4 linked regions of the Caenorhabditis elegans genome follow. The protein of the gene in region 1 interacts with the protein of each later gene in a pairwise test. Each region holds a gene or a part of one and is shown in the gene's direction. Other genes may lie near its edges.

Region 1 (4,447 bases):
AATCAAAGTTTTCAAATATGTGTTACTGCCTCCTTTAGCTATACATCCGTATTTTAACTTTGATATACTTTAAAACTCATGTTCATTCAAAAAAATCGAATATCAGATACAGACAATTATAATAGAACATAGAAATATGAACTAAATGAAAACAATACTGTACTCACTTATTATAGTCTAAAATGACAGGATAACGTAGTAAAACACACTAAAATTTTGTAGAAAAAGTAAAAAAATTTATAGTGAAAGCTTTGGTAAATTGCCAAGTTTCAAATACGAAAAATTGAAACGTAAATTGAACATAAAAACATAATAATTAATTTCTAATTTTTTATTTTTTTCGTTAATAATTTCTTCCAATTTTTGACCTCTGAAGAGTGAAAACATATGAAATTTAAAAGTGTGGTTGTAATAGGAAAGTTTATTTAGAGTACGGTATATCAAAGTTAAGAATAAAGATGTATAACTGAATGAGACCAATACCACAGTTGTGAAAAATATACCAATTTACCAAAACTCTTTTTGCGATTCATATATTCTAGCTATGTTTCAAATATTTTTATTTGAAGATTGCAGTAGCTTAAATCTGAAATGCTCAACATTTTCAAAACGTCCACATTTTTGGAACATTTGGCAATTTACCAAAAACTTCTACTGACAACTTTGAAAGATCTGATTTTTTTTGAGTTATTTTGTTTAGAAAAATTTTTCACTGGCGATACTCTGCCAACAGTTTTCAAATTGAAGATCATCTAAAATTCCATAAGGAATTTCACATCCTTTCAAAAAACCTATTTAAATAGTTTTGAGAAGTTTTAAATAATTTATTTTGCCAACAAACAAACTTGAGCAGAAATTAAAAGGAAAAAATTAAGAAAATATTATTTTAAAAAAACGCATTACGGTTTGCCTCCGTGTAATTTCTAAATTACAAGTCCTAATGATGTCATAATTTATCCTCATTCCTAGTCTAGCTTTTCCAATTGCCAAAACATCACTTTTATTTCTCGATTGTTCTCTACTAACATTGAAACATCGAATCCCGGATTATGCATTGTTGTGTCTGACCGAATTCATGACTAATAATCATCGCATAACATATGATACGGAAAGCTTCAAGAACTTGTTCCTCTTCTCGAATTTAGATAATTGACTATTGAACGTCTGTCCTTTCAACGCAAGACAAACACATGATTTTTTGATGATGTTAGTTTTAACAACATATTATTATTCAAAGCATTCATAGTACTTATACAAAAATACTTAAAATAATGTGTTCCAATTATGCGGTTGGCAGGCAGGCATTCTTACAGACATACATGCCTACCATCAAAATCAAAATTGAAACTGAACTACAGAAGGCGTGTCTACCATCTTCTATTGCTCAAATATTTTTGGAAGAAGTTGTAATAGTTTTCAAGACAGTTTCAATCATTTTTTTCGTCAAATAAAAAGACACTTTATATGTATGTGCCATCTACGGTAGTAGCGAAAGCTGGGAAAGTTAGCTAAATGGAAACGTGTTTTCAATCTTCGGGAACGCTCTGAGCAACTTGCTAGAGTTTGCAAGAGTTGGTTTAGAATTGGCTGAAGTATGTACGTAAAGTTACTAGTATTTTATTCAACTAAACAGTTTATTAAAACAATTTACAATACTGTATTCCTTTCCCAAGCAAATACAACCAAATCTCTATACATGGAAAGTTCACAGTTCATTCGAACTTTCTAGAGTTTCCCCTTCATCATCATCATCCCGCATCCCTCCCTCGAACAATTAGCTGTGTTGGTCAGTATGTCCGTCGTTTTCAGTCAAAATCCGACCGCTTCCTTTCAACGCAACTTTCACTCGTTCCGACTCGTACCAACACAACATTGCATAATTCTCCGTATGCCTGGGACGAATGGACGGATCGCCTCTGGTCACCCCCTCTTCGGACCGTCCGACCGATGACCCCTTTTGCGGGAGGGCGCGCGCGCAACGGGAAGCAGTGAAATCAAGAGAATTAGGTCAGTGAGAGGACGACTTTCATTTTCGAATTTCATACTTTCTCTCTTCCCACACACACACTTATACACCGGACTTTCTCTCTTTGAAAGCGCAACAAATCTGAAATTACATATGGCTTCATGTCATGAACCATCTGCTTTTAAGAGCCTATGTGCTCATCCTTCAACTTTAACTGCAACATTTGACGTATCACCCTACTCTTCAGCTTTTCATCTTCCTATTCATCCAGCATTACTTTCAAATACACATTTACTACATCTCAATACCTATAATGTAAGTCTATGCAAGTAATAGTAAATCAGCATATACATACATACATTTGGTATTTCTAAATATTTTATGAAACTTTAGGCTATTTTATTTTCCAACTGATACAAACCTGCCAGAATAAATAAAAACATACCGTATTATCCCAATTAGACTAGAACCCCATTATTCCACTTTGGCAGCAAATATTTTGGTTCGTATTAAACATCAATAAGTAATTTATTAAGAAACAATAGGAAAAATAAACAAAATCTATATAGTCAGTTGCCAAATTTTTTTCTACATTAAATTTTGAAAATTGGCCTCCCAGATATAAAATATCAAATTCGAGGAAAAGGAAGTTTCATTAATAGCTGAAATACGGTATTAGGAATTTAAATGATACAAATTTTAGTCAAAATGAATAAACATGAACAGGTGAGGTATAAACTATTATATTTTCAGCCAACAACCTACGAATCAACTGAACGGCTCTTTGAGCAAAACAATAACAATAGTGAAAAGGCAGAGGTAAGTTGAGCCTCAGATTCTTGAACTATGATGTTACAAGCTTCTTTATTTTTCAGTCATGCTCATCGCGAGACAGTAGTCATGATTCATCATCCCCGACATCAACTGGAGGAAGCAGTCGGGATAACGTCATTGTCAGAAATGAATTGAAACGGAAAAAGGTAAATCTAAAAAAAATCATACATACACATAACAATAGAGTTTCCCTGGTAGGCAGCAGGCGCACGGGGAACTTCAGGCGCACGGGGATGCCTGCAGCCAGTTCTGCATTTGGCGTGAACTCTGGTATTTTGGTATTTGGATAGTGAAAATTTGGTAGTTTCTCTTCTTAATTGATTTGCTGAAAGTCCAATTGAAAACTGAAAAGAGCCAGACAGACACTTCTGTGTAACATCTCCAAAAGTTATGTTTTTATTCACTCCCAAATTATGACTAAATCTAGAAGATGCCTTAAACATTATTCTTATTTTAAATTTTAAATAATTCTTAGTTCCCATCCCAGAAATATACCATTTTGAGTAAAAATTGAAACAAATTTATTTTCAGGATCAAGTGAAAGATGTAGCATATTGGGAACGACGACGAAAGAATAATGATGCTGCGAAACGAAGTCGTGATCAAAGAAGAATGAAAGAAGATGAAATGGCTCATAGAGCAACAAGTCTAGAACGTGAAAATATGTTGCTCCGTGTAGAATTAGATCAACTGAGAGCAGAAACTGATAAGCTAAGAGCACTGATTTTGACGACACCTACAACGTCTATTAGTGTAAGTTAATTGATATCCAATCAAAATATAAGTGGTTCTTCAAAATTCAAATTTCCAGATTCCAATTCCTCTACAATCTTTACCACTTCTCACTGCACAAACGGCTCCAGCTTCATCAGTGATAACTACAAGTCAGATGTATGCACCTCTTCCATTAAAAATTCCAAAGACTCCTTCACCATCTCTTCTTCGGAGTACAGTGCTAGTCAGCAACTCTTCTAAAACTTGATCATTTTTGAAATATTACTCTGAAATTATGCATTCATGTTTGTAATTATTGATTAGTTGAGCCAGTACTCGTAAAACTCGAAAAGATATCTGTGATTTGCAAAGCTAACCGATGTAATAAACGTTCATTCACATTTTTGTTCAAAAGGTTCTGCATTTAAAGTACAAAAAATTATGATTCAATAAGAAATTGTGACCGAAAAAACATATCAGAAAAAACTAAATTTGAACAGCCGCCGAAAAGACACCAAATGGACTAGGAAACCGGGACGTGGCCTAGCGTTCCGCGAGTTGTGTGGATTTACGAATAATTTATTGCGTTCTCAATTTGAATGATTTTCCTTGTTTTCAGTTGTTTTTCCAATTGGTTTTTCATTTTTCTTGTTAAAATTAAATAAAAATATTCACAAGAATCAAGATAAATTTTCAGATGGCCACACAACAAGCGAAAATATTGTGTTGTGGTGATGTGAATGGAAATTTTGTAGAACTCATCAAGAAAATATCAACAACCGAAAAAAAGGCATGTTTTATCGATTTTTGGGATTCATTCAATTATTTTTTTTTCTTTAGAATGGCCCATTCGATTCACTATTTTGTGTTGGCGAGTTTTTCGGCGACGATGACGATTCAAATGAGAAAGTTATCAATGGAAATATCGAATTT
Region 2 (3,744 bases), on another chromosome or scaffold:
CGGGGCCGCCTTGAGGTCCTTTCCGACCATTCTGTACCAGGTTGTTCCTATTTGGATTTCCTCGAAGAAGTTGAGGGCGCGAGAAAAAACCGAATGGCTGCAGGAGACGCCGCGGCGATGGTGGTGGTTACGCAAACTGTGCTTGAGCAAACATGTGCCTGAATTGAAAAAGAGAAGAAGACGATGACGATTAGGAACAAGAAGGCATTGAAGACGTTGAAGAAGGTCATCTTTGAAATTATGTTCAAATATGTTTTGGTTCTAGTTACCCTAGATTTCAAAAATACTTGAAGTACTCTAGAAACCCGAGTTGATATTTGTAAGGTTTATGTTAAACTCTACGTCATATTTTGAGTAACTGCCTACCGTAGTTTTTACACTTATTTGAAAAGAAAAAAGCACCTAGCTACTTTTGTAAGTTCATATTCATTTTAGGGCTAACTTACCTGTGCCTGGTAAAAGCCCACAAGACGTCTAGAATTACTATTGCAGTCTTTTCAAATACGTTCTTTTCTGGAATGGTTCTTGTTGCCCTGGATTTCAAAAATTCTCTAGAAATCCGAGTTGGCAATTTCATGCTCGGAAAGTGCACTTTTTTTCGAAAGATGATCGCTCTCAATAATTAACCTTCATAATACACATCATACTCTTCTTTTTTGCATTCACTTACAGTAAGCACTAGATATCTCGGAATACTCTAGTTGGGTTTGAAAATCTCCACGGTCCCTTTTCTATTTTTCTAGCCGTCCCCTATATCCACCTACAGTAGCCTTTGCGCCTGTACCTCTGCAGCACTATGCCTAACTGGGAGCAGGTGAGCCAATACCAAATAACTTTCCCAAAACTCTTTCTCCTCCCATCAACGGTCATCCGATCTCAATATGGCCACGTCATGCTCCAACTTCACGTACGCTTTGGCTCAAAACGAGTTCACTGACCGAACTGTTTGTCCAACCAAAACCTTGTGGCCGAGCGCAAGAAAGAGTTGTGTGTTGCTGATATTTTGTAAAAAGTAAACGTATCCTCTTCCTCCTACTGCTGTTGCTGTGAAAGTCAGTCAGCCCCGGAAGTGAACAGTTCGCTGATGCGACGACCTCCCACCCTTCGGCCTCCTCCTCTTTTTCCCCCAACAAAACTTGTGTCAACATACTGTGGTAGGAGCGAAAAGGTACCGCGCGCCCCATCCGCATTTTGCCATATCCATTCCTTCCCGAATCGGCGCTTGCTTCCTGGTGACCCTTCCCTTATCTTGGAGCAACTTTCACTTTTTCCACTTCTTATCTCCAATTCTCTCGTCTTTCTAGACAAAATAGATATCAGAATGTTCCTCCAGTTCCAAGTACATTGATACTTTTTCTTTCTCCAAATTTTCCCACACCTTCTTTTCATTACTTTTTCTCATTCGTGGTCTACTCTTTCTTATTTTTGATCTCGGTTCAATATTAGAATCTGCAAACTTAACAACTGAAAAAATAACATTTCTAAACTTACTATAACATTTCCACTTTTTAATTGCATTCTTTAAATTTCGTAAATTTAAGATGAATTGTGAATCGTTGCTCACTGCCCTTGACGTATCCACTCTACTCTCAACTCTTTCCTCACCTGAAAAAGAACATCGTCGTAAAAGACGACGTGGTGAAGTAGCCAATCCATCAAACACTCTTGATGCTCTTGTTGCTCGCAAAGCCGACGATCAACCATTTGAAAAGAGATATCTAAGTGAACAAGAAGCAATTGAAGGACCAGATGATGAGATTGAAATGAAAAAAATGGAATTGGATCCTGATGTATCTACACGCACCTGCTCTACCTGTGGTTACCAAGGAAAATGGGTGTCTGAGATGATTCGTCATAAGAGAGTTCATACCAGTGAAAGACCATTCAAGTGTCGTTATTGCTCCAGAACCAGCAAGTGGAAGGCTGACCTTATTCGACATGTTGCAAGTGAGTTCATATTACTTTTCTATTACTTTAGGTATTTGAATTCGCTTTAAACCTTTTGTAATTCTGTCAGATTTGAAGTTTGGCAGCTTAGAACAATTTTTGAAATGTAATCAATTAGCTTCTGCTATACCTGAAAATGTATTCTCCAACCTCAATAATTTCAGAAACTCATGGAATCCGTGTTGTCTCCAAATACAGCCGTTCGAAAGTCTTCGATGCCACCAACAGTTCAATGGATTCTTCGTGTTCTTCAGACTCTGATCGATGCATAATTTCTGAAAAGAGAACAGTGTTCTATCGTTGCCAATTGTGCTCATTTGAAGATGAAAGAGTATCTGTATTGAACAGTCATGTAAGCCATCTTCACAACACCTCCCCATGTGTTTGTCGATGTGGCGCTAAATTTGAAGATGTCCAAGGAGCACTTGCTCATTCCAATGGTCCATGCTCCCATGTTGATATGATTTACAACGTTATGCCAACTTATGAGAAAGGTAAACCATAATTTTAAATAGTTTAATTTCATGATTTAAATTCCTTTTTTCAGCATCTCCATTATCCCCGTGCAGAAGCGAATCCTCATCAGACAGCGGAATTCAGACAGATCCTGAAGAAGAAGCATCGATTATTACATCATCCCTACCAACTCCTCAACTTGGATCATCACCTCTTCTGTTGTCACCAACACTTCCAGTCACTCCATCTTTCCTTCCAGACATTCAATCAGCTCTGCTGAGCCTTCAGCCAAATCCATTAATGTCATTATACTTGGCATCTCTCCTACAATCTTCCTTGTTGAATAGTCCAACTATTCCAACATCTTTTCCACAAATCATCCCAACTACGATACTTACACCTTCTCAACAAGATGAGATGGTTGACGTTGAGATGTAATTCTTAAGATCTTGAATCCATAATCTCAAAATTTATAATTAAAACAATTTATCACTTCTTTACTTGAATATCTCAGGTTCATATACTCGAACCAATATATTTTCTGTTCTACTTAGCCAATCACGCACACAAACCCCAAAAAAACCCCAAATCTTAGGTATCTACTCACATACGAATCTCGTCTCAACTCTCAGCTTCCTGGTGAATTCATATTTTCTTTGCTAATTTTATTTTCCTTATCTGTTTCTACTATACGAGTCATGTTTCTATCACACATCCCTCCATATTTCTCTATCACATTTTTCACCGATTTCTCTTTTTTTCGGGATTGTTCTTATTTATATCGTTACGAATATTTGGAAATATACGCTTGTTTAAAAAAGTATTATCACCACTGCATAAACTCATATTTTAAGCGATATTATTGATTTGTATTTGCTCGGCATTTAGTGCCTCCTTTCTCCCACCTTTTGAGGTCTTCTCACCTTCCGCCCACCTTTTTGCCACCTGCTCCCCACCTTTTGTAAAAATATCACAATTATTCAACAAATACTCGAAATTCAGTCGCGTTTGCCACCTTTCTCCCACCTATTGTGGTCTAAAACAGCAGCGGCAGCGTTCTGGTGACACCAAAACATGTATTTGTGATTTACAACAAAAAATCTCGATAAATAATTTTGAAAACAATAATTCTTACATTTCAAAATCTGCCTACACCAGACCTGGGAAACGCTTATTTTTCCTACCTCATTACTGCCAGTTCACTAACTTGCTTCTTATCTGGCCTGCCTACATACCTTCTTTGTTCCTGTCACGTCCGATTTTCCTTGGTTCGTCTAATTTCTTATTTTATCTAATTTATAAAACTGAATGTTTTTCTACCCGTCGATCAAAGCATTTCAA
Region 3 (4,365 bases), on another chromosome or scaffold:
CTAGATTCAAGTAAAGATACCTTTATCTAAAATTGAATTTCAATTTTCTCTCCTCTTTTTCCAATTTCATTCACTTTCCTTCCCATAGCCTGCATACTTTCACCGACTCGTTCCCGAACGATATGATCGTGCTAGCCACTCTCTCTTTCTCGTATCGAACTGCGATCTTTCAGTTCCCAACAAGAATACCATCATTTCAACACCTCACTTTCGCAATCAACTACCAAAAGTGCACTCTCACTCTGTTACTCTACCTAACCGTATTATCCGCTCTCCATGTAAAACTACTGAAGTAGACACAGCAAGGGACAGGCACACACTCACTGGTCATCAAAATCATCAAATGATGCAGTGAATTTGGCTGTTCTGGTTTGCAGACAAAAAAGTTTTGGAAGCGGTGCGGGAGGATAGTGGACACTGTTTGTGATTCACTTCTCGTCATTCTCCGAGCCTTACAAACAAACAAAAATAGCTCTCTCTTTTCGCTGACGATTGTCCCCCAACACGGGCGGCGGTTATTTTGGCTCTCGCCACTCTTTTTCAAGGTGCACAATCAAAAACAAACAAGTCCAGCCCGATTTCGCGAATTTGTTCATCTAGTTCAACGCATTTTTTTCATTTTGAATACATTTGCTTGTATCGTTTCCGAGTTTCTTGAACAATTACTTTCAGAATTGAGTATCATTTTTTGTGTTCAGCAGTGAAAAATAACCAAAATTTCTCTATCAGGCTTGCACTCACATTGGTCATATTTTACAGTCCTGACCTAGAGTGCGTTTATGAATTTTTCAAGACTTTTGTTTATCTAAACCTACCAATTTTTTCTTCGTTATCTTTTTCAACTTTATCTTTTAGCCGTATCTCATTATTCACTTTCCACCCAGTAGCTTCATCCTCTTGTCTTCCAATTCTCCGCAAAGTTCACCTACCCTTTTGTACTAGTGACCTGATGCGACGAATTCAACCATTGACCTCCTCCTCCTTCTCACACTTAGACACACATACATCCGTAACCCGAAGCAGCGAAAGTTAAGCATGAAAGCGAAAGGAAAGTGAAAACAATTAGGAAAAGTCGGCATCATCATGGATCGGAGGAGGCGACGCGTTGAAGTCGTTGCGAACGATGAAAAATGATTAGGAGACGGGTCGAAGAAAAAGAGAAGGGACTGCAATGAAGAGAGAAGGGGGCGAAAGTCGGAGGGGATATCCTGTTCTTCGACTGGTTTATTGTAGAGACTGAGAGTGAGAGGATCTACCAAGCATTGTCCGAAACATTGACCATGGCTAACTGGTTTGCAAGGCGCAAATAGGTCAACTGAGGAGAGGCACAACACCGCTTAATTGTTGCTAACTGCACTCTACACCTACCATATGAACACACCTGTACCAGATATACTTTGTTTTCTCACCTTTTTTTAAGTTAGTGATTTTCTGGTTGTCTAGATACTCAGGGATTAGCATTGCGTAAGATCATCTTCACTGAAACCAAAAACTGAATAATTTTTGTATACACATTGGTCAATTAAAATGGCTTACAATTAATTAATAATATCTGGAAACAGTGAACACATTGAACTTCTGATTGTGCTGAATCTCCAAAGATCGTGTCAATTTCAACTCAAAAAGACGTATTTGTCCTTACATCAAATAGGTTGACAGCTTCTTTTAACTCTACTAACTTTCCATTTCAATACACCATGTGTACTAACATTTTGAAGTCAAAATATAAATGTTGTGTCTTAATTCATTTTGAAAGATTTTGGTATTCATATTTCTTTCACCGATGTTCTTTTCTTTCAAATTTCGTACTTCTATATTCTTGATTTTCTTCTTTTGTTTGACTTTTAATCATCTTATTTTTATTTTTCAGATGGACGTCGACTCGGCATCATTGTCACCGTCCTCCAGACTTTCGGTGGTTTGTTCGGCATCCGCCGAGTTCTCATCGAGCTCGTCGGATTCGTCGAACTTTTCAGAAGGATCTCCCCCGGAATCTAGAAGGTTTGAATTTTTAACAGTTTGATGAAACTTTTGAAAGTTTAAATACTTTTCGACATTGATAACTATTTTTCCAGAAATTCCGTAAACGAAAGTGTAATAAAAGATGAACATTACTGGGAAAGGCGACGGAGAAATAACGATGCATCAAGAAGAAGTCGAGAAAAGCGAAGGCAAAACGATCTAGCAATGGAAGAAAAAATAATGTTACTTTCCGCCGAAAACGAACGGTTAAAATCTCAGTTAGGAACGACACCAATTCCACAACCATCAGTAACAGAGCCTCCAACATCTCTGATTATTCCCCAAGTTGCAAAGAATCTTTTCCCAGCGGGTCCAATAGCATCTTTGCAAGCGAGTTCAATGCTTACTGTTCCATTGCTCCAGGCAGCTTCGCATATTCCATCAATGTTGCAGCTTTGTCAACTACAGCCAACAACTATTCAGTCACCGGTAAGTTATTTTATTGAACTTGGAAATATCGAAATTGTGATGATTTAAATAAAATAAATTAACTCGTGGAAAAATATTTACTATTACAAAAACGTCTGAACCGCATATAAAGTTCCATTGTCATTTTTTGGCAACACAACTCAGATTGTCAACAATTTAATGAATACATTGACAGCTGAATGCGTGACCTAGAAAGACAGATGTCCCATAACGTTTTTCCATGTTTGTAGGTCTATGCGAGCACTCAACAACCTGCATCAACGTCAGCATCATCTTTATTCTCTTCATCGTCTTCATCTGCATTTCATCCTTTTCGACCATCAGAAAGTGCTCAGCAGAGTTTTCCATCGAGTAGCGTAATTGTGAAAATTGAACGAAGAAGTCCAGATTCATCAACTGACGTGAATATGCCTCAACCTCAGTTACAGCCTGGATCTAGCGTTATTCAACAAAGTAAGTCGTTGTTTTTGAAAGTAAAGAGCATATTTTCATTTCACTAGTATTAATTGAAACTATAATCTAAAATTTATTTCAGTCGGTCAGCCTGCTCCATCAGGTACGCCTCAACCAGTAATCCAAGCTGTTCAACAAGGACCATCCCTGCTATCTGCTCTTCTTTCACAGCGAAGACCTTCTCCTACAGTACCACAAAGCCGAACGGAACATATTTCGGGGCTAAATTCCCCTCCAAGACATACTGGAAACAAATCAGACTGTGAAAGTGTATCGTCTTCAGCATCTTTCTCTCCATCGCATTCTTCGGAAGATCACTCAAATTATTCGAACAAATCGGTAAGTTTTTTTAAAGGAATTGAAAGAAGACATTTTTAAATACATGTCAAATATTTCAAAAAAAAACTTTCAGCCCCAATATGTGGACAGACGTCGAAGGAACAATGAAGCCGCAAAAAGATGTAGAGCAAATAGACGAGCAGTATTCGAATACAGGTCACGACGAGTTCAGGTAAGTTGAAACTAATTTTAATAGAAAACATAAAATTTTAAAACTTAGATATAAATTTATTGAATCAATTATTACTTAACATTTTCAGCTCTTGGAAGGTGAAAATGAAGATCTTCGTACCCAAATCGAAACGCTAAAAGCAGAAATAGCCCACTTCAAATCAGTTTTGGCTCAAAGAGCATCAGTTGTTACTGCCCTTCACCCTTGATCCCATTCCATTTTCTTATTTTTGACTAATACGGATAGAAAGCCAATTTTCTTCGTCTTCTCGCTAGATGCCCCCCAATCAAAGTCTTTCGCTCTCAAAAAACCCTTCCTCTCTTTCTGCAATACTTCCAATCATTCATGTGCAATACTTTTTAACTTTAAATGTTTCATTAATTGTTTCTAATAAAACCAATGTGTTATTATTTTTGATTTGCTTCCTGTACAAAAAAAGGTGAAACAACAAAAAAAAGTAAAGTCTGCAAACGATTTTTAAAATCCACCCGTCGCTTGCCAGAAAACGGAAACTTTTCAGAATGATATAACTGAATCAGAAAATTGTTTTATTAATGTTTCATATATACAAATTATTATGAGAAAGTGAATTTAAAGTTGAGCATTGATAATTATTTGATTACTTTTCCATTAAACAGAACTTGTTTGCCCTTTTCGTTGATACTCCATGTAAATGTCATGTATACTTCTGAAAGGACATGAAATATAAAATATTTCCTAATTTTATGCAAATCTTGACCCACTTTTCCGTTTCGATGACGGCAACAGACGGTGGCGGAATGTCATAAATTGGCGCCTTTTTTGAATTACGATAAAAATAGAAGGCATTCAGGCCTAGATCCAGAAGTCCAAATACTAGAACCAAAAAGCAAAATACTGAAGCAACTTGGAATGTTCCAGTGGAAACTGATTGATAACATCCGTATTGAGTTATTGCTCGGGAGTCACAA
Region 4 (4,745 bases), on another chromosome or scaffold:
CTGCCGGAGCTTATGTGTTCGAAATAATTCAGAACCCATTCCCCACTGCCTTCACATGCTTACAATTTATTGAGATTTTCTCCCCAATTCTAGCACATTTTTTTTCCAAATTCTTTACTTCCACTTCATCTCACCTAGCTTCTCCTGGAAACCTTACGTCATTCCTCTAGTCTGTATCTCTTATTCTTCTATACTTTCTCATCTTCTCCGGTTTGACCTAGTCTTTGCGTATTGACACTTTCGTCTTATTCCCTTCAATCCATTGCCGTCCGTCTTCATCTTTTTTCCGTCTTAGCCGTCTTGGTGACGATGGATAATTAGCGGAAAGGATAGGTGTATTGACAGTTTGACCTTGTATAGTTCATAGTCACGGGTTGCAACATTTCGGTGCCACGTCATTAGGCTTATTACAAGTGCCTAGTTTTAATCTAATGTTTATGGTCTCTTTTTGGGATATGGGAACCAAGTAAACTGAAATTTGCACGGCTTTTTCATTTGTTAAATCTAGAAAAAAGTCCCTAAAGATGTGCCTTTTTTGCAAACACTCCCCCGCGATTAAACTTTAAACCTACTTAGTTTTCTTATGCAAAATCCATCATTAAACCTTTTTTGCTTCACTTTCTTAGAAACAACTTGTCCGACGATTTTGAAGTACAAACCATAAACTTTCTTCGAAGGATTTTCTTTGGATTTTAAAAACAGGTCTCTCAAAAAAGATTAGAAGATTATGCTTTAAGATTTGCCCAGATGATCAAACAATGGCTGATGAAATTTTTAAATCTAGCTGTTTTAACCATTTCATAAATTTCAAAACAAGAGACTATGTCAAAACTTGAATACACTAATAATAGTCCAACATGACCAGCATTTTTTAGAGTTTTCTAAAAACTCCAGAGATTGTCTTTTTAGAGTCTCCTAAAATAAGTGAATACTGACAAATTGCCATTTATTGGCTACTCAACGTTCACACTAAGTTCTTCTTTTTTCTACGAAAGAGTTCAAAATTAAAAAACGTCTTCTAAATAATGGAGCAAAGAGTCACAGTTTGGAAAAGCCTCCAAACAAGTTATTCTTGGAAACTGTTGCCCCAAAAATTCTGTAAATATATTAGGTACGCGAAACCAGGCAATAATGTTGAAAGATAATACTACGATTGCTGATTTCAAGCTCCTCCGATTTACTTTTAAAATTTGAAGCTTCTCACACACACGTTCTCATAAAATTCCCGTGCTCCTGCTGCTCCAAAACATTGAATGCAATGATTCATTCGTTATCTGAGTTAATCTACCGTATCCTTGCAGCACATTCTATTTTAGAAATTCAAGTCATTCTTGTAAAATGATCTGGATTTGGGATTACATGACATACACTAAAAAGAGAATGGATCATTCTTACCGTCAGCGTCATTGATCTGGATGCCTGTAGTTAAGCTTTTTTTATTACTTTTTGCATCTTTCTTCTTCCTCCTCCGTCATCATAATGGCCTTTTGCCTGCACACATTGAAAAGTGCCTATGTGCTCAAAATGCTATGAGCTCACACATCTTTTCTTTCATTCGATTTTCAGATTTTTTACTTCCTCATTTTATCTGCCTTTGTATTGTTTCATGTGTCTTCATGTTTCATGATTCAGCTCAAAATCATGCATCTTGAAATGGATATGAAGCTGGAAGACGATAAAATTCATTCACCCACAAATACAGAGGAGGAAGGTTACGGTAGTGACGTGGAGGTTGAGAATGGAACTGATATCAGTGGATCCAAAGGTGGAAGTGGTGTTGAGTTAAAACGACCCGATTTAAAAGGTTTGTAAGTTCTGGGAATTGTTATTAGTCCACCAAATCTGATTAGGTTCTTACTTTTATAATGATTCTGAATTTCAGGTTCGTTCCGTTGCTCAATCTGTTCAAAAGTTTTCTGTCATTCTTCAAGTCTCTCCCGCCACCGTATGCAGGCTCACTTCAAAAGCTACAAATGCACAGTATGCCGAAAAGATATCTCAAGTAAGTCGGAAGTTATTTATTTTTTATTGACAATGAGGTGATCTTCCGAGCATTAAGAAAAATCCTCAATCACAGATTTTTCGAAATTGAAAGAAAGATAATCATGACATTTGATACAAGAATGAGCTGCACATTTGAGCTGAAAAGCTGCTGGAGACAAAAATATGAAATAGAATGAAAACTTGTTCGATCAGGGACTCAGAGAGCTTTTGCTACAAAAATGTATTAAGCTCCAGTACATCTTTTGATTTGATCTCCTCATTTCCCGGGTTTAGCAGGGATACTGTAGAACATTTTGCAGAGCAAAATTGTGCAGTGCAAAACCACTGCTATATTTTAAAGCATCCACCTATAATATTTGAACAAGCATATTGTTTACACCTGAATTGTTTATCACATGAAACACCGCAAGAAACTCGTTTTTATTGTTGTTCGGGTATAAGCATCTGTATGAACAATTATTGTTTACTATCCATCCACTCTCCGGAGAAAGATTCCTCTTGATCTCATTCAATTTTCACTGTTTCTTCATTCTCCGGACGATTGAGGTCATCCGGAGAAATACGAAATAGTGGAGACGCAGACGCAAACACAGTTCTCACTTTTCGAGAACGGGGACAATTGAATGAGGTTGCGCAATGGATGAGAGTGGGGGCAGAAGGGAAAAAAGTGGAGGATTGGAGCGAAATTGTAAGGGGTCAAATAATGGCTTTGGGATAAGTAGACAAACTTTATAGGAGTACTGTATTTGAATTGGGGACTTTGAATAATAATAAAAAACTATTGTAATTTGCAGGTAGTGAATCTCTTCGTACTCATATGTTCAAGCAACATCATATCTCTCGAATGTACATGTGCCGTTGCTGTAATTGGGCTTTTCCTGATAAATCACTTCTTCATATTCATCTACAAACTGCCACTAACAACAATGACAGCAACAACAATAATAATAGTGTCATTCCTCATGGAGTTATCAACAGAAGCTGCCACCTCATTACAGATCCATTCCAGTGTAAGACTATCAGATATGAGATGAACATAAAAAGATTATTGATTTCAGTAATCCGTACTCCACTTCTAAATCTACCAACCCCACAATCCCTTGAATCATCAGTACCTTCTCTTCCAATTGCAAGCATCCCAATCCCTGCTCTTCAATCGCCTATTCGATCTCAACCTCAGACACCTTCATGGCTTGCAAATCTTCCAAAACCCATACCTAGTAAGTTACATACAAAATATTTGTAATGCTTATGATAATATTTCAGCTACGGCACCAATATTTGTAGCAGATTCAAAAGAAAAAATAAAAGATGAAGTGGAGAAGCCCGATGTGTATACTTCACAGTCACCAACTTGCTCATCAGTCAGCTTCAAGTCTGATCTTAGTGCATTCCATCAGTTGTGTTCTGATCGTGCTCTTATATCATCTCCATTGATTGATACAGCTTCACCATCCTCATCATCTTCTTCTTCAAGGATCAGTCCACGTCATGAATGCTTCGACTGCCACGTCAGCAGGACAAAGATATTGATTTCTGAAAATAAATGCAAACTGTTGGAACACAAAATTGGTACGATGCAACAAGAAAGTTTAGAAGCAAATGCCCAAATGAATGGATTGGAACAAACTGTGCTCAGATTGAGAATGGAAGCACACGCGCTCCGTGAGCACAATGAGCTATTCCAAAGGAAATTGTTAGAGTGTCAGGTAAGATTTCAGATCAGAAAGAAGTATTTCAAAATTATTTTTTCAGAATCTTGCCGTGAAATTTCTTCAAAATGACAAAGCTCACGACGCCTCGGAAATGAATTCATTTCTTCGAATTCTCATAAATAACACAATTTTGACACGTCCTTTTTAGAATTATCTTTTTTCCAAATTTCTCTGAAACCTCAAACTTCGCAAGCTTTACTATCATGTTAATATTGTTTCATTTTTGGAGATTTCTCATAATTTTCGCAATATTTTTTACCAATCTCAGAACTATATTTTTTAACTTATTTCTTCCTGTTTGCGGGATTTTTTGCTTTTTATTTCCAAAACAAATATTAAACAAACAAATCAAAATCATCCGATCCGTTGTGTTCCTTCTGTGTCTCCATCTCCATAATTCTCAGTGCTTACGTTGAATATACATAATTGTAATATAATAATAATACATACTTGATATAAATTTAAATGCTGTATTCTACGTTTCTTCCAGGAAATAACTGAAACTGATCAGAGAAAGTCAAGAAAGTAAAAAAACAGTATAGAAAGTTGAATAATGTGTGTTCCAGAATTTTTGGTACTCTTTCAAAAAAAATTTTTTTTGAAAAATACATTTACAAAAGACGTAAACGGATTTCTTATCCAGAATAAACAAATAACTAAATAAATCCTCTGCCAAATATCCATGGTAACTGAAATCTGAGAAAGCTCATTTCTTAGCTCTTTAATTCCAACAAAAAATCGATGTCCATTTTCACTTAAAGCGACCCAAAAATACCAAATTTAGTCATGAGCCTCTACCAATATCCTGAGCTCTGTTTTTTTTAATGTTAAACTCTGTTTCAGCTAAATTCTCAAATTTCGCAAAGTCAGTTTTCATCAAATTATTATTTTTCATAGCAATTTTGTCATTATTTTGTGGGTTGTTTCGTTGATGTGCTGATAGGTGCTCACATTGAACATTGTCATTGCTGTCAAAATTTGACCATTTCAGGAAAAAAAAACTTGACGAATTTGGAGCATTGTTAA

What was found.
Region 2: the proteins of atf-8 (region 1) and ztf-2 interact in a two-hybrid assay, tested with the Caenorhabditis elegans proteins (one large-scale study listed by BioGRID).
Region 3: the proteins of atf-8 (region 1) and atf-2 come close enough for resonance energy transfer, tested with the Caenorhabditis elegans proteins (one large-scale study listed by BioGRID).
Region 4: the proteins of atf-8 (region 1) and ztf-30 interact in a two-hybrid assay, tested with the Caenorhabditis elegans proteins (one large-scale study listed by BioGRID).

What each region holds. Positions count from the first base shown.
Region 1 is NC_003283.11:6,103,617-6,108,063, forward strand, and holds atf-8 (BZIP domain-containing protein), read left to right. Parts: upstream 1-1,990; 5' UTR 1,991-2,119; coding exon 2,120-2,281; intron 2,282-2,719; coding exon 2,720-2,785; intron 2,786-2,841; coding exon 2,842-2,946; intron 2,947-3,331; coding exon 3,332-3,553; intron 3,554-3,611; coding exon 3,612-3,782; 3' UTR 3,783-3,914; downstream 3,915-4,447. Other genes in the region: cwf-19L1 (CWF19-like protein 1 homolog), read left to right, coding at 4,212-4,304, 4,355-4,447.
Region 2 is NC_003279.8:7,289,731-7,293,474, forward strand, and holds ztf-2 (Zinc finger protein ztf-2), read left to right. Parts: upstream 1-1,541; coding exon 1,542-1,947; intron 1,948-2,111; coding exon 2,112-2,441; intron 2,442-2,494; coding exon 2,495-2,841; 3' UTR 2,842-3,222; downstream 3,223-3,744. UniProt on the Caenorhabditis elegans protein: Transcription factor. Represses gene expression, probably via binding to DNA consensus sequence 5'-[AT][CT]TTCC[AC][AG]-3' in promoter regions. May play a role in pharynx morphogenesis.
Region 3 is NC_003280.10:8,750,116-8,754,480, forward strand, and holds atf-2 (Transcription factor atf-2), read left to right. Parts: upstream 1-1,870; coding exon 1,871-2,001; intron 2,002-2,075; coding exon 2,076-2,451; intron 2,452-2,681; coding exon 2,682-2,904; intron 2,905-2,986; coding exon 2,987-3,243; intron 3,244-3,316; coding exon 3,317-3,415; intron 3,416-3,503; coding exon 3,504-3,623; 3' UTR 3,624-3,818; downstream 3,819-4,365. Other genes in the region: K08F8.7 (MARVEL domain-containing protein), read right to left, coding at 4,046-4,103, 4,159-4,365. UniProt on the Caenorhabditis elegans protein: Acts as a transcription factor that recognizes and binds to the sequence 5'-[GA]TTA[CT]GTAA[CT]-3', a sequence present in many promoters.
Region 4 is NC_003281.10:8,594,758-8,599,502, reverse strand, and holds ztf-30 (Zinc finger transcription factor family protein 30), read left to right. Parts: upstream 1-1,632; 5' UTR 1,633-1,659; coding exon 1,660-1,804; intron 1,805-1,882; coding exon 1,883-2,002; intron 2,003-2,798; coding exon 2,799-3,014; intron 3,015-3,062; coding exon 3,063-3,224; intron 3,225-3,270; coding exon 3,271-3,713; intron 3,714-3,759; coding exon 3,760-3,867; 3' UTR 3,868-4,193; downstream 4,194-4,745.